Danio rerio: one gene and its partners. The main gene of each other region encodes a partner of the protein of the gene in region 3 in a complex. Links are inferred from orthologs where the notes say so. Each region holds a gene or a part of one and is shown on either strand. Other genes may lie near its edges.

Region 1 (3,660 bases), on a different chromosome or scaffold from region 3:
GTACAAACTCATTCACTTTTTGTCTGTCCCAACCAGGGCCGGCCCGTGGCATAAGCAGTATAGGCAAATGCTAAGGGCGCTGTACATCCAGGGGGCGCCAGAAATGAGCGGGGGTAAGTTGGTTTTGTTTTCGATATTTCTGACACATTCAGTGACAGACGGCAACAACTCAAAAAAACTCTTACTCTAAAAAGATCTAAAGTGTGTTTCCAACAAAAAGACAAAGCTGGTTATGTTTCACAGCTGTCTTTTTCTTTTTTTTCCCGCTTGACATTACGACCACTGCTTCGTTTAAGCCCTCGCAATCTGCGTTTAGCCGGGAGAGCTCACGCTGAGAGGAGTTCTCAGTAAGGGACCGTCGGAAAAGTGCTTATTTTTTTCGTTTTTTTTTTTTTTTGCTCCGTCCTGCGTGTTTTATTTTAAGCACTACTAATTTTCTCTTAAACGAGCACAAACAGTTACTAAAGTAGTCGAATGCTTCATTATAGATCTGTGCATTCTTACATGAACACCTCTGTTATCAAACAAAACACAATGAGAGATTCACTAGCTGCTCTTCACTAAATAACTATAGTAGCTTTTGTTGGAAGAAAAAAAACTGGGTTGGAGAAAAAAACAGAGTGATAGGAAAACACATTTTCAAGCTTTTGTTTTGCGTTCCCTCGCAAAACTGTTTCTCCACAAACACTTCCTGTTCTCATTCATGTAAACTCTCCCGTTTTTGCCGAAATTCTCCCGTATTTTACCATCCTATTCCACTATCATCCTAGCATTAAGTATTTTCCCATATTTCTGATATATGTTTAATCTTGAAAGCACGCTCAAATTAATATTAAAATGTCTGCATTCACTCTCTTTACATTAAAGCTGTGGGTCGATCGTCGCCTTTCATATGCATCCTCTGAATCTGTGAATGCATGTCAGCGCTGACTGACAGACGCGCTCCGTACAATAAACTGATCCCAGATCAGCTTATATACACGCTATTTAAAGTGACATCTCTGTTATCACACAAGTGAGTAATGTAAGTGGGATAGGATGGTAAAATATGGGAGAATTTCGTCAAAAACAGGAGGCTTTAAGTGAGTGAAGTGAACAGGAAGTGTTTGAGGGAACACAAAACATCTTTGCCAGATAACGCAAAACTTTGCGAGAGAACGCAAAAACTTAGAAATATATATTTTCTTCCCACCCATTTTTTTTATTTCACCCATTTTTTTTCTCCTACCCATTATTTTTTTTCACCCTACCAATTTTTAATAGATATATACACTAGATATCGCATAGGGACCCTGAGCATGCGTCAATAGCGCCGCCACATTGGTACAGTGCTCCCAGGACAAATGTCATTCTACCGTACTAGTCAAGACGGTGTTATTACATGAAGATGCGGGACTTTAGCGCTGTCTACGGGTGTAGTAACGAGCAAACAAAGAAAACAAAGCACAAAGGCAGAACATTTCATAGGTGAGATTAAGTTTTTTTTCTGTTTTTGTATGTTATTAACTTTTGTGCTAATCACGTAACGTTTTCGATGATAATACCGTCACTTACTGCATTCACCATACGGCAAAGCAGCACCAACTCGCACTAAACACTCGGCTTATGCTAGTTTTGTTGAATAAAATCAGCAAACAATGCAAAAGAAATATGACAACGAGATGCTGCGCTGCCAAACACTTGTATTATTGTCGACTAGTGAACGAGTCGTTCATTCACAAGCGAATCGCTCCCTTCATCAGTATGAGAAGTGAAAGCAGGAGAGAAGCTGTGTTTCAGGACATGATTAGATCACATTTAACAGGGAAGGTGAATAGTACATTTCTGTACACATGAACACAAGCTTTTTGTCAGGAATGCCCGTGCGGTCACTGATCCATCAATGTAGAAAAGTGATGTAAAATTATAATTTTCGTAAATAGAAAAAAAAAATTGCATACTAACATCCAGGAAAACTCCCGATCACAGATATATGTGTATATGTGTATATCTCTGGCTTTGGATGGCCACAGCCCTCCACTGTACCTTGGTCCCGCATTCATTTCAAAGGAGCGCTACCCTGTACCAAGATGGCGGCGCTATTGACGCATTCCATCCAATAGACAACAATAGGCCAGGCGACATCTAATGTATATATCCATGCCAATTTTTATCTCCTCCACTACGTCCCTTCTGGGTCTCCATAATATGCAAATACAATCTAAAGTGAAGTAGATTTTATAGCTTTATTTAATTTCTGTATAGGCCATTAATTTTAATGGGTTAAACCTTTTATTTTATTGTCAATATTGCATTGATGTTATGGAAAATAGTAATAGTAATGTGACTACCCCTATCATTTCTTCCTCAAGCAAATGTGTAAACATTAGATCTATTCAGCAGTAACGTTAATTGCCTTGGCATATTTATCTGACGTTTTCCCAGCTTGTAGTAGTCGATCAAAAAGCTATTTAGTTTCTTATGACTGTACACTAGCAGTGAAATTACTGCGATGTGACAGGGCGCCACCTGAAATCTTACCTAGGGTGCCAAATTGGTTAGTTGTTGTTGTCGCAGCCACCGCCGCCGTCGTTGTAGTCGTAGTCGTAGTAGTCGTACTAGTACTAAAGAGCGGTGTTGTCGTGTGCATTCTGATCAGCGATGTTGTTCCATGCGTACTGTAAAGCGGGGGGGAGGGGTTTGGAAAGCGCGTATTCAAGAGCGGTGTTGTCGCGCCTACTGAAGGGCGTGGGGGGCAGGGGGGGTGTCGCGGGGGCACTTTTGATCATTTTGGAAGGGCACTTTCAATCCAAGACTAAAAGGGGCATGTGCACTGCACAGGTTGAGCCCTATGTGTGCACGTGCCTGGTCCCAACACAAATTGATTTTTTTTGTTGTGTAAAATTACGATTCAATTCTAGAATCCCCCATATGTTGTGATGTGTCGTTTCTGTGACTTAAAGTAACGAACACTCTGGTCTTTACCTTGCTGCAGGACGTACCCATCATGCACAGGGATGGCGGTGGTGTGCGTGGCTCCGCTGTCCAGCACCAGGCCCGTGGCTCGACCGTTGGCGAAGCTGCAGTCGATCAGGTTAAGGTGAGGTACAAACATCATGACATCATCAGCCTGCCTTTAATACATGAGCAACTGCACTGTGATTGGCTGACGTCCCTGAGTGCTGCGCTCTGATTGGATACGCGGTGAGCACGGCTGTTTTGCACAGGAAGAAAGCGGGGATGTTGTAATGCTCAAATATGAGCTCTGTGAGTTTTTCCCTCTTGGCTCGCGAGTTCCACTGTCACAAAAGAGAGATGGAGGTGAGAAAATCTTTGAATATACTGCAAATGCATCGCTCAGGTCATACAAATCTCAGACAGGACTTCATTGAAGTCAATCATTGACTTGTTATGAATTAGTTTGAGGATGTTTTTTTTCTGTCGAACATAAAAGTAAATACAGCGGGGGAAATAAGTATTGAACACGTCACCATTTTTCTCAGAAAGCATATTTCTAAAGGTGCCGTTGACTTGAAATTTTCCCTAGATGTTGGAAACAATCAAATAAATCTTCATATATGCAAAGAAAACAAATATAATTACTTTATAAATGAAGTTCTGTGTAATAAAATGAAATTTTGCAGGGAAAAGTATTGAAAACATGAAGAAAAGGAGGTATAG
Region 2 (3,660 bases), on a different chromosome or scaffold from region 3:
GGAAAAGCCTTAAGTTGAAGAATTATTTCTCAAAAATGTCACATCTTAAAAATCATCTGTCTGTAATGTACATATTTGTGAGTTTTTTTTAATTTGGCTTTATTTGAAATAATTATAGTGAAATATGAAGTTGTTATTGAAGGTGTTATTATGTAATATGTTTTTATCTTCATTGATTTTGCCATAAAGCATCCATGGGGCAATAAATAAATGAACAAATCACCCTAGACATTTTTTAAAATCCATTTTTTCTTTCAGATGGATTGGAGCTGAGGGACATCTGCACTCCTCTCTTCCACCCGGCCCGTAACACCGGCATTGGGGACGTGGAGGGCCAGCGGGTGCTGCAGGTTGCGATGATCCTGAGGAATTTGTCCTTCGAGGAGGCAAACATTAAACTGCTGGCAGCTAATCGCACATGTCTGCGCTTCCTCTTACTGTGCGCTCACTGCACCTTCATCCAGCTGCGGCAGCTCGGCCTCGACACACTCGGAAACTTCGCCGGAGAGGTCAGAGTTCACTCTCTAAAAGATGCAAATAGCGTTGTCTGCAGTGTTGAAGAATTTTTGTTGTCTTGGTTTATGGATATCTGTTAGCTAGTGTGCTCAAAAATAGTGACAATTAGCATTAGAGAAAGTATAAAACTGATATACACATGCAGAGCTTGAAATTTGTCACTTCTGCCTAAATTGATTGGCGCTTTATTTGATTTTTTTCCACGTCACCTTATATTTTTGTTTAATTATTTGTTTATGGAACATTCTGATGCACTTAATTCACCACAAGAGGGCGTTCATTACAGTTATGTGACTAATATAAATTATTTATTCTTAATAATAATAATAATTCACTTCACACTTATTTTTGTTGTTGTTTTTTAATGACATTTTTACTGAAATAATGTATTCAATCAATCAAAACATAAATAAATTCTAGGTTTTTGTCTTAATTAAATTGAAGTGTAATTTACACAATTCACCACAGGAGGGCCACAAACTTACTTTTACAAATGTATATTACAGGTATAAATAGATTTCTTGGCGAATCAACGAGCTGTAATTTGGCAGATTTTTAATTTATCTTTGACATGGGACATTCTGATGCACAAAATTCACCACAAGAGGGCGTTCATTTAACTTATGTGACCTACATTTATATTTATTTATTAAATTGTTTAATTTATTCTTTATAATAAATTGATTGTCTATTGGAATTTTATAGTTCTGTTCACATATTTGTTGTTTTTTTTAATAACAGTAACCTTTTCACTGAAATAATAATGCAATAAAATCAATCAAATATGCTAGTTTGTCTAAATATACTAAAGTGTAATTCACACAATTCACCACAGGAGGGCGACAGACTTCCATTGTTTACAATTTATATTGCAATATAAGTATATATTTCTAGGCGACTTAATCAGAGGTATTTTGGCAGATTTTTAATGATTTGTTTATGGAACATTTTGATGCATATAATTCACCACAAGAGGGCACTTACTGAGATTATTTTAACATTGTAATTATTTTATTACATAATGTATTAATATTGTTAATAATAATTTAATTGTCTATTGAAACAGTGCAGCTCACACATTTTTTGCTGTTTATTAATAACAGTGACTTTTTCGCTAAAATAAAAATGTATTAACATCAGAATTGTGTATCACCACAGGAGGGCGCTCGACGTGTAAACTTATATTGTTTGTTATATTGAAGATTTAAAAATAGATATTTCTGTTAAAATTCAAGCATTTTTCTCATTTTTGTTCACTTTACAAACAACAAACCCAATATTATAATTGATTTACGTGACAACTGATACAATGCAATTGATGTAATTAATACGACTCACCACAGGAGGGCATTGTTTACATTGATTTAATATATACAGGGCTCGAAATTAACTTTTTTACTTGGTAGCGCCGGTGCTCCCAACTTCAAATATTTAGGAGCACCAAAATAAATTTAGGAGCACCAAAAAAACTTTAGGAGCACCACCAAAAATGAATGAGCACCGCTGCAAATTGCTTTTTAAGGGATTTATTGTATTTTAAAACAACATCAATAGGACTGACAAAAACCAGAAACAACTATTGAACTAATGCTGAGAAGACATTGATATTTGTGTGCAATAATTCCAAAATGAATGTCTAATAATTAGGCCATAGAATATTAGTGATGATGAAAATGACAATAATAGTAACAATGAATTACATTTCTCATTATGATACTGCCTTAAATGTGCATGAATGTAGGTTATCTGCTATACAAAGTCTGTTACTTTGTGAAAAATAAATGTATAGTTTGCATCAAACAAAAATGAAGCATTGCAGTAAGAAATATTGATTTTGTACTGCTGTTTTTATATGCATGTCAATTTAATAAATAATATTTCTGCTACAAAACAAACAAAAGATTATAATAAATCATATAATTCAATGATGAAAGCTGCAAAGCAGTCATCAGTAAATAAATAAAAAATAAAAATAATATAGCTACACCTCAAAAAAGAATAGACAAAAGAAAGTAAGTAAAGTCTCACTTCTATCACTCTTTAAAAGTTTTGGTTTCAGTTTGTGTCAATTTAAAGGTTCAGTCTGAGATGATCTTCATTTCTCTGTGTTAGTGGAAAAGCAGGCGAGTCAGCCGACCCAATTTATGAGCAGGCAGAGCAAGATTCTTGCGGTGACATCCGGCGCAATATCGCTCTTTGTTATGAGCCGCAGTTTCAGTGTAAACTTAGTAAAGGCGAGCTTCTTTGGCGATGAAATGTGCAGTATTAGATTTGACTTTTAGCGGACATTTGCGCTGAACACGCAGTGAATGCGACGCATGGAGATTCGGGCACCTTCTCCAAGAAGCGCGTACTCGATTGATCTCAGCTGGTGGATCATTATTCACCACGTGACGTGTCATGATCGCTCTCATCTGCGCCTCAACTTTAGGTGGGGTTTGCAAACCTGTGTGCTTTAAGTTTTCACTCTTCAGCCTTTTGCATTTCCCGTGCTCATAAAAGCTCCTTCCCTGTCATCTGACAGCGGAATACCTTGAGTGATTGACAGCTAATATGAACCAATATAGCGGCAGGGAAGAGCGATTCAGCACGTTTTTACAAAAAATCAAAACAGGTCGCACTACAACCATTATCTGTAGTCGCACTAATGCGCCAAAATATATTAAATGGTCGCAATTTCGAGCCCTGATATACATAGCCTATTCAATTATTCTTGAATAGATGACGTTGATTTAATATATATAGTCTATCTATTCATGTTTTTTAAATAAAAGTTTTCACTTCAGTAGTAATAATAATAATTACTATAAATCATCTCATACTTCAGTTTCTCATCAAATCTTCTGACCAATCAAATGGTCTTTAGTATCTGACATGCCCCGCTTTTTTCATTTGTTGCACTTGATCACATTGGCAGAGCTGTGATAAAACAAAACGCTATTGGCTGTTTTATAAAAATGGGAGGAGCTAGTCTGTCTCACTCTCTCTTCATTATTCAGTTGAAAATACGTCAAACATCGAATAACAATATGTACATTTCACAGGACCTTTAACAAAAAGCCCAAAAGATTTTTTTGATAACACTTTACTTGAAGGCGTGTTTATAAGACTGTCCCTAATTTAAATACGACTCGTGATCCAAAG
Region 3 (3,660 bases):
TACAGAAACGATAAGGGGTTTGACCTAATGGGATAGCTCACCCAAAAATGAACAATTAATCATCATTTACTCGTTCAGAACAAGACATTTTGAAAAATGTTGGTGCCTGACAACCCTTAGCTTCCTTAGCATTATTTGTCTACTATAGAAGTCATTGGGTGCCAGCAAACAGCATTCTTTAATATATCTTCTTTTGTGTTTAACAATAAAAGGTTTAAATCCACACAAGAGAAAATAAAGGAGGTAATGGTCATTTTGGGGTGAACTAAACCCTTTTGAAACCATTGAAATGATAATCTCACATCCTCAAGAAGCCGCCCCTCCACACGCAACTCCCAAGATGCAACAGTTCCCTCGCCATCCTCTGCATCTGGCTTGGCAGGGTTGAATGTGTTGGAGATAAATATTCGGAGTTTTCTTTTTTGCTGCGCGGAACAAACAGATCAAACGCTGTTCAAGCACATAAACCACCACAATTTTGTCCTCTAGAAGAGAACAAATGACCAAACTGCACTCAATGTTGGCAAAAAATCGAAAACTACCTTAATGGGTCTCTTGAGAGCTTCCTGAATATCAAGTCGTTTGCGCATGATGGTCTGGTCGAGCTTCCTCTCAAACGCCAACAGGTCCATATAAGCCTGAGACTCTGGGACAAGCTCTCTGATCTGAAATAAAGCAGAAAATCTAAATAATTGCAGCATTTTAATGTTTTTTTTTAAACATTTAACTTGATTGGGCAAGAAAAACAGCAACAAAGGCAAACCAACTACATTACATAAAAATAACATTTGCAAAACATTGCAATGCCAGTCCATTCATTTGTTTAAACCTTGGATTAGTTTATCCAGAATACTTGCACTACTCCAACACGAAAATAACAACAAAGAGGACAGTTTCACGTCCACTTACTCTTTGAGGTAGTATTTTATCTGCCATTTTCTTCTTCTTGGCACTAAAACACAAAACAGCAGCATGAGAATGAATCTAATCAGGCATTTCAAAAGATTACTGTTATATTGACATTAGCATCAGGTTTAATCCATCAGTTAGACTTACTGTTGGTTGCGATTTTGCTGTTGAACCTGCTGTATCTGATTTGGCGCTGGACGTTTGCGGGACGGGTCCATTACTGGCATGCCGGGGCGGGAAACAGGACTGGCCCCGTAACCTGGGGGCCCCATGGAGGGTCCCTGAGGAGTCATACGACTGGCTGGAGGCATTCCTGGTCTCTGCAAAGAAGGAACAAAAGATGATCCAAACGGATGAAACACTGTATTTAAGCACCAATTATAAAACATTCATCCCTTATAGTTCCATTAGGAACATATGGCAGAAATAAATCATAGCACGATTGTTATACACATACATTTAAGCAAGTTTAAATATATTTTATCACAATTTATTACATGGCTGTTTGCAATACTTGATTGGGTCATTCAAGACATTCCAAAGTGTGTTATTCAGAGATAACATCTGTTTAAACAAATAACACAGCCTCATCTAGTGTATTACTTCATCTTGACCATCAGTGAATATGTTGACGTCGATATTTATATGCTCTCATCATTGTTTTGGATAGTTTGGTGCCATCTTGTGACTGAATATATAGGTTTCTCAACCACATTCCTGGAGGCCCACCAACACTGCATGTTTTGGATGTCTGATTTGTTTATCACACCTAATACAGGTCATCAGTCTCTGCTAATGAGCTGATGATCTGAATCAGGTAAATTTAGCTAAGAAGACTTGAAAAATGTGCAGAGCTGGTGGTCTTCAAGGAAAGTGGTCGAGAAACATTGGGTTAGAGTGTGCTTTATTTGGCCATTTTTGTTTCTGTCAGCTCAGAACAATGGTTTGTGTTTAATTGTTTATGCATTATGAGAAACAGCCATGTAATAAGCAGGATAAAGTATAACCAGACAGTTTTCTACACAGAATTTAGACTTGTGGGCTATACAAAAGCCTTTCACTTTGCATTAAGCTGCTGATAGGCCTGTCGGAAATAATTCTTCAATAACAACTGCCTGAATGGCGGACAAAACAAAATGTAATACTTTGTTTTTTTTTAATGATGTAATTGTGGTAAACGTTGTGTTGTTCTGGTTCCCCTCTAATTGCAAAAATCAAGATCTGAATGTTCAAATCTAGTCATGTTGTAAAATGGCATTTAAAAAGAGCACAAGCAATCCATTTTAAGACAATAATCGAAATCAATTATAAAGAAAGATGCTTATATCATTCCTCAACTCTATTACTTTAAATGAACCAGCAAATACCCTTGAATCTCAGTCCAAACAACAGGAGAATGCAAAACAAATATCTTGTGGACGAACATGAAATACCAATGTTTTCCTGCTAAATGGAAGAGTAATGAAATCAAGGCTTCACTGAAGGATGTACACAAGCACAAACTGCGACCTAATTCATCCTTGAAGGCAAGATGAGGCCACAGATTCTCCACATATTTTGTGCAATGTGGAGTTTGACATTTGAGCAATTCTATACAAACGTCAACCTTGCCATTGAAAAAATAAGTTTTCACCAATACAGGAAAACCACTTTTTATGTTTTTTTTTTGTGTAAGGAAGTATTTTAAAGTCATTTAAAAATGCTCAAAAATGTCTTGTGTTTTCAAGAGTCAATGTTTTCCAACTATTACATTTAAATTACCAAAGTCATACAAGTGGCAATTTCATATTTGTCACATCCATAACCAAGCTCTTCCCTCATAAATGCAAAAATGTCAAATTAAATAAACTCAATCATTTTTGTTCTATAGTGAGCAACTCATCCATTTGATGAGCATTATTTATTTTGGGTATTGCAGTTTAATTCACAGAATTTCTAAAAAGCATGTTGTATACTGTAAACTCGCAGACTTTTTTGGTCACATCCATAATGCATGTTTATTTTCCTTATTTAAAGTACAAAACATGTTTACAGAATAATATTTTTCTGATCTCTTAACTCTGTGGTTAGTTGTTTTGGAAAATATAAACAGACATTTCAATATAACGTTAACGTATAATTTCTCTGTGAATTTATGTTTTTAGTTTTTACAGCAAATGTCACATCCATAATGCTGGGATTGCTCATTCATTTTTAAATCCTGGAACAACTCAGATATTTAGTCACAAATCAGCACACAAACAGTTGTGTTCATCACTAAGAAAACAAGTGCTGCTGATCATCTGAATGTTGGTGCAGACGGTCACTGAAACTTAGAAACATCTCATGTCAAGCAACAGTATAGGCATGGGCTGGTATAAGATTCTGACAGTATGATAACCTTGGATAAAAATATCACTGTATCACGGTATTGTGATTACTGCTCTAAAATATGTTCTTCTTAAATGCCTGGGTTAAAAAAAACAAAAAAAAAGTCCCCATTTGAAAACATTATATTTTATTTTTTGAAAGATTTATAATATTTTGAGCATAAACATGTCAGGCTGAATGAATAATCCAAATGAATAATTGACTTCTGCTGTCTTTATTAGTTTCAAAAACACAGATTTCTTTACAATTTAAAAATTCTATGGATTTTTTTTCTGCTGGAGATACTGTCGTCATAAAAAACAAAATACATTTTTTTACAAATACTTTAGGAATGGTGTTAAAAAAACATTTTAGCGGTTTTAAAACCTTGACTTTTCCAAA

Evidence for each region.
Region 1: smarcd1 (region 3) and actl6b share a complex: the UniProt entries of both Homo sapiens proteins name them as parts of the BAF complex. The link is inferred for Danio rerio from reciprocal best matches to the Homo sapiens genes SMARCD1 and ACTL6B.
Region 2: smarcd1 (region 3) and arid2 share a complex: the UniProt entries of both Homo sapiens proteins name them as parts of the SWI/SNF-B (PBAF) chromatin remodeling complex. The link is inferred for Danio rerio from reciprocal best matches to the Homo sapiens genes SMARCD1 and ARID2.

Annotation. Positions count from the first base shown.
Region 1 is NC_133198.1:48,249,070-48,252,729, forward strand, and holds part of actl6b (actin-like protein 6B), read right to left. Parts: intron 3,279-3,660; coding exon 3,181-3,278; intron 3,060-3,180; coding exon 2,965-3,059; intron 1-2,964. UniProt on the Homo sapiens protein: Involved in transcriptional activation and repression of select genes by chromatin remodeling (alteration of DNA-nucleosome topology).
Region 2 is NC_133179.1:1,989,654-1,993,313, reverse strand, and holds part of arid2 (AT-rich interactive domain-containing protein 2), read left to right. Parts: intron 1-258; coding exon 259-509; intron 510-3,660. UniProt on the Homo sapiens protein: Involved in transcriptional activation and repression of select genes by chromatin remodeling (alteration of DNA-nucleosome topology). Required for the stability of the SWI/SNF chromatin remodeling complex SWI/SNF-B (PBAF).
Region 3 is NC_133197.1:7,410,412-7,414,071, forward strand, and holds part of smarcd1 (SWI/SNF-related matrix-associated actin-dependent regulator of chromatin subfamily D member 1), read right to left. Parts: intron 1,230-3,660; coding exon 1,057-1,229; intron 953-1,056; coding exon 910-952; intron 666-909; coding exon 543-665; intron 426-542; coding exon 303-425; intron 49-302; exon of another isoform or gene 1-48. UniProt on the Homo sapiens protein: Involved in transcriptional activation and repression of select genes by chromatin remodeling (alteration of DNA-nucleosome topology).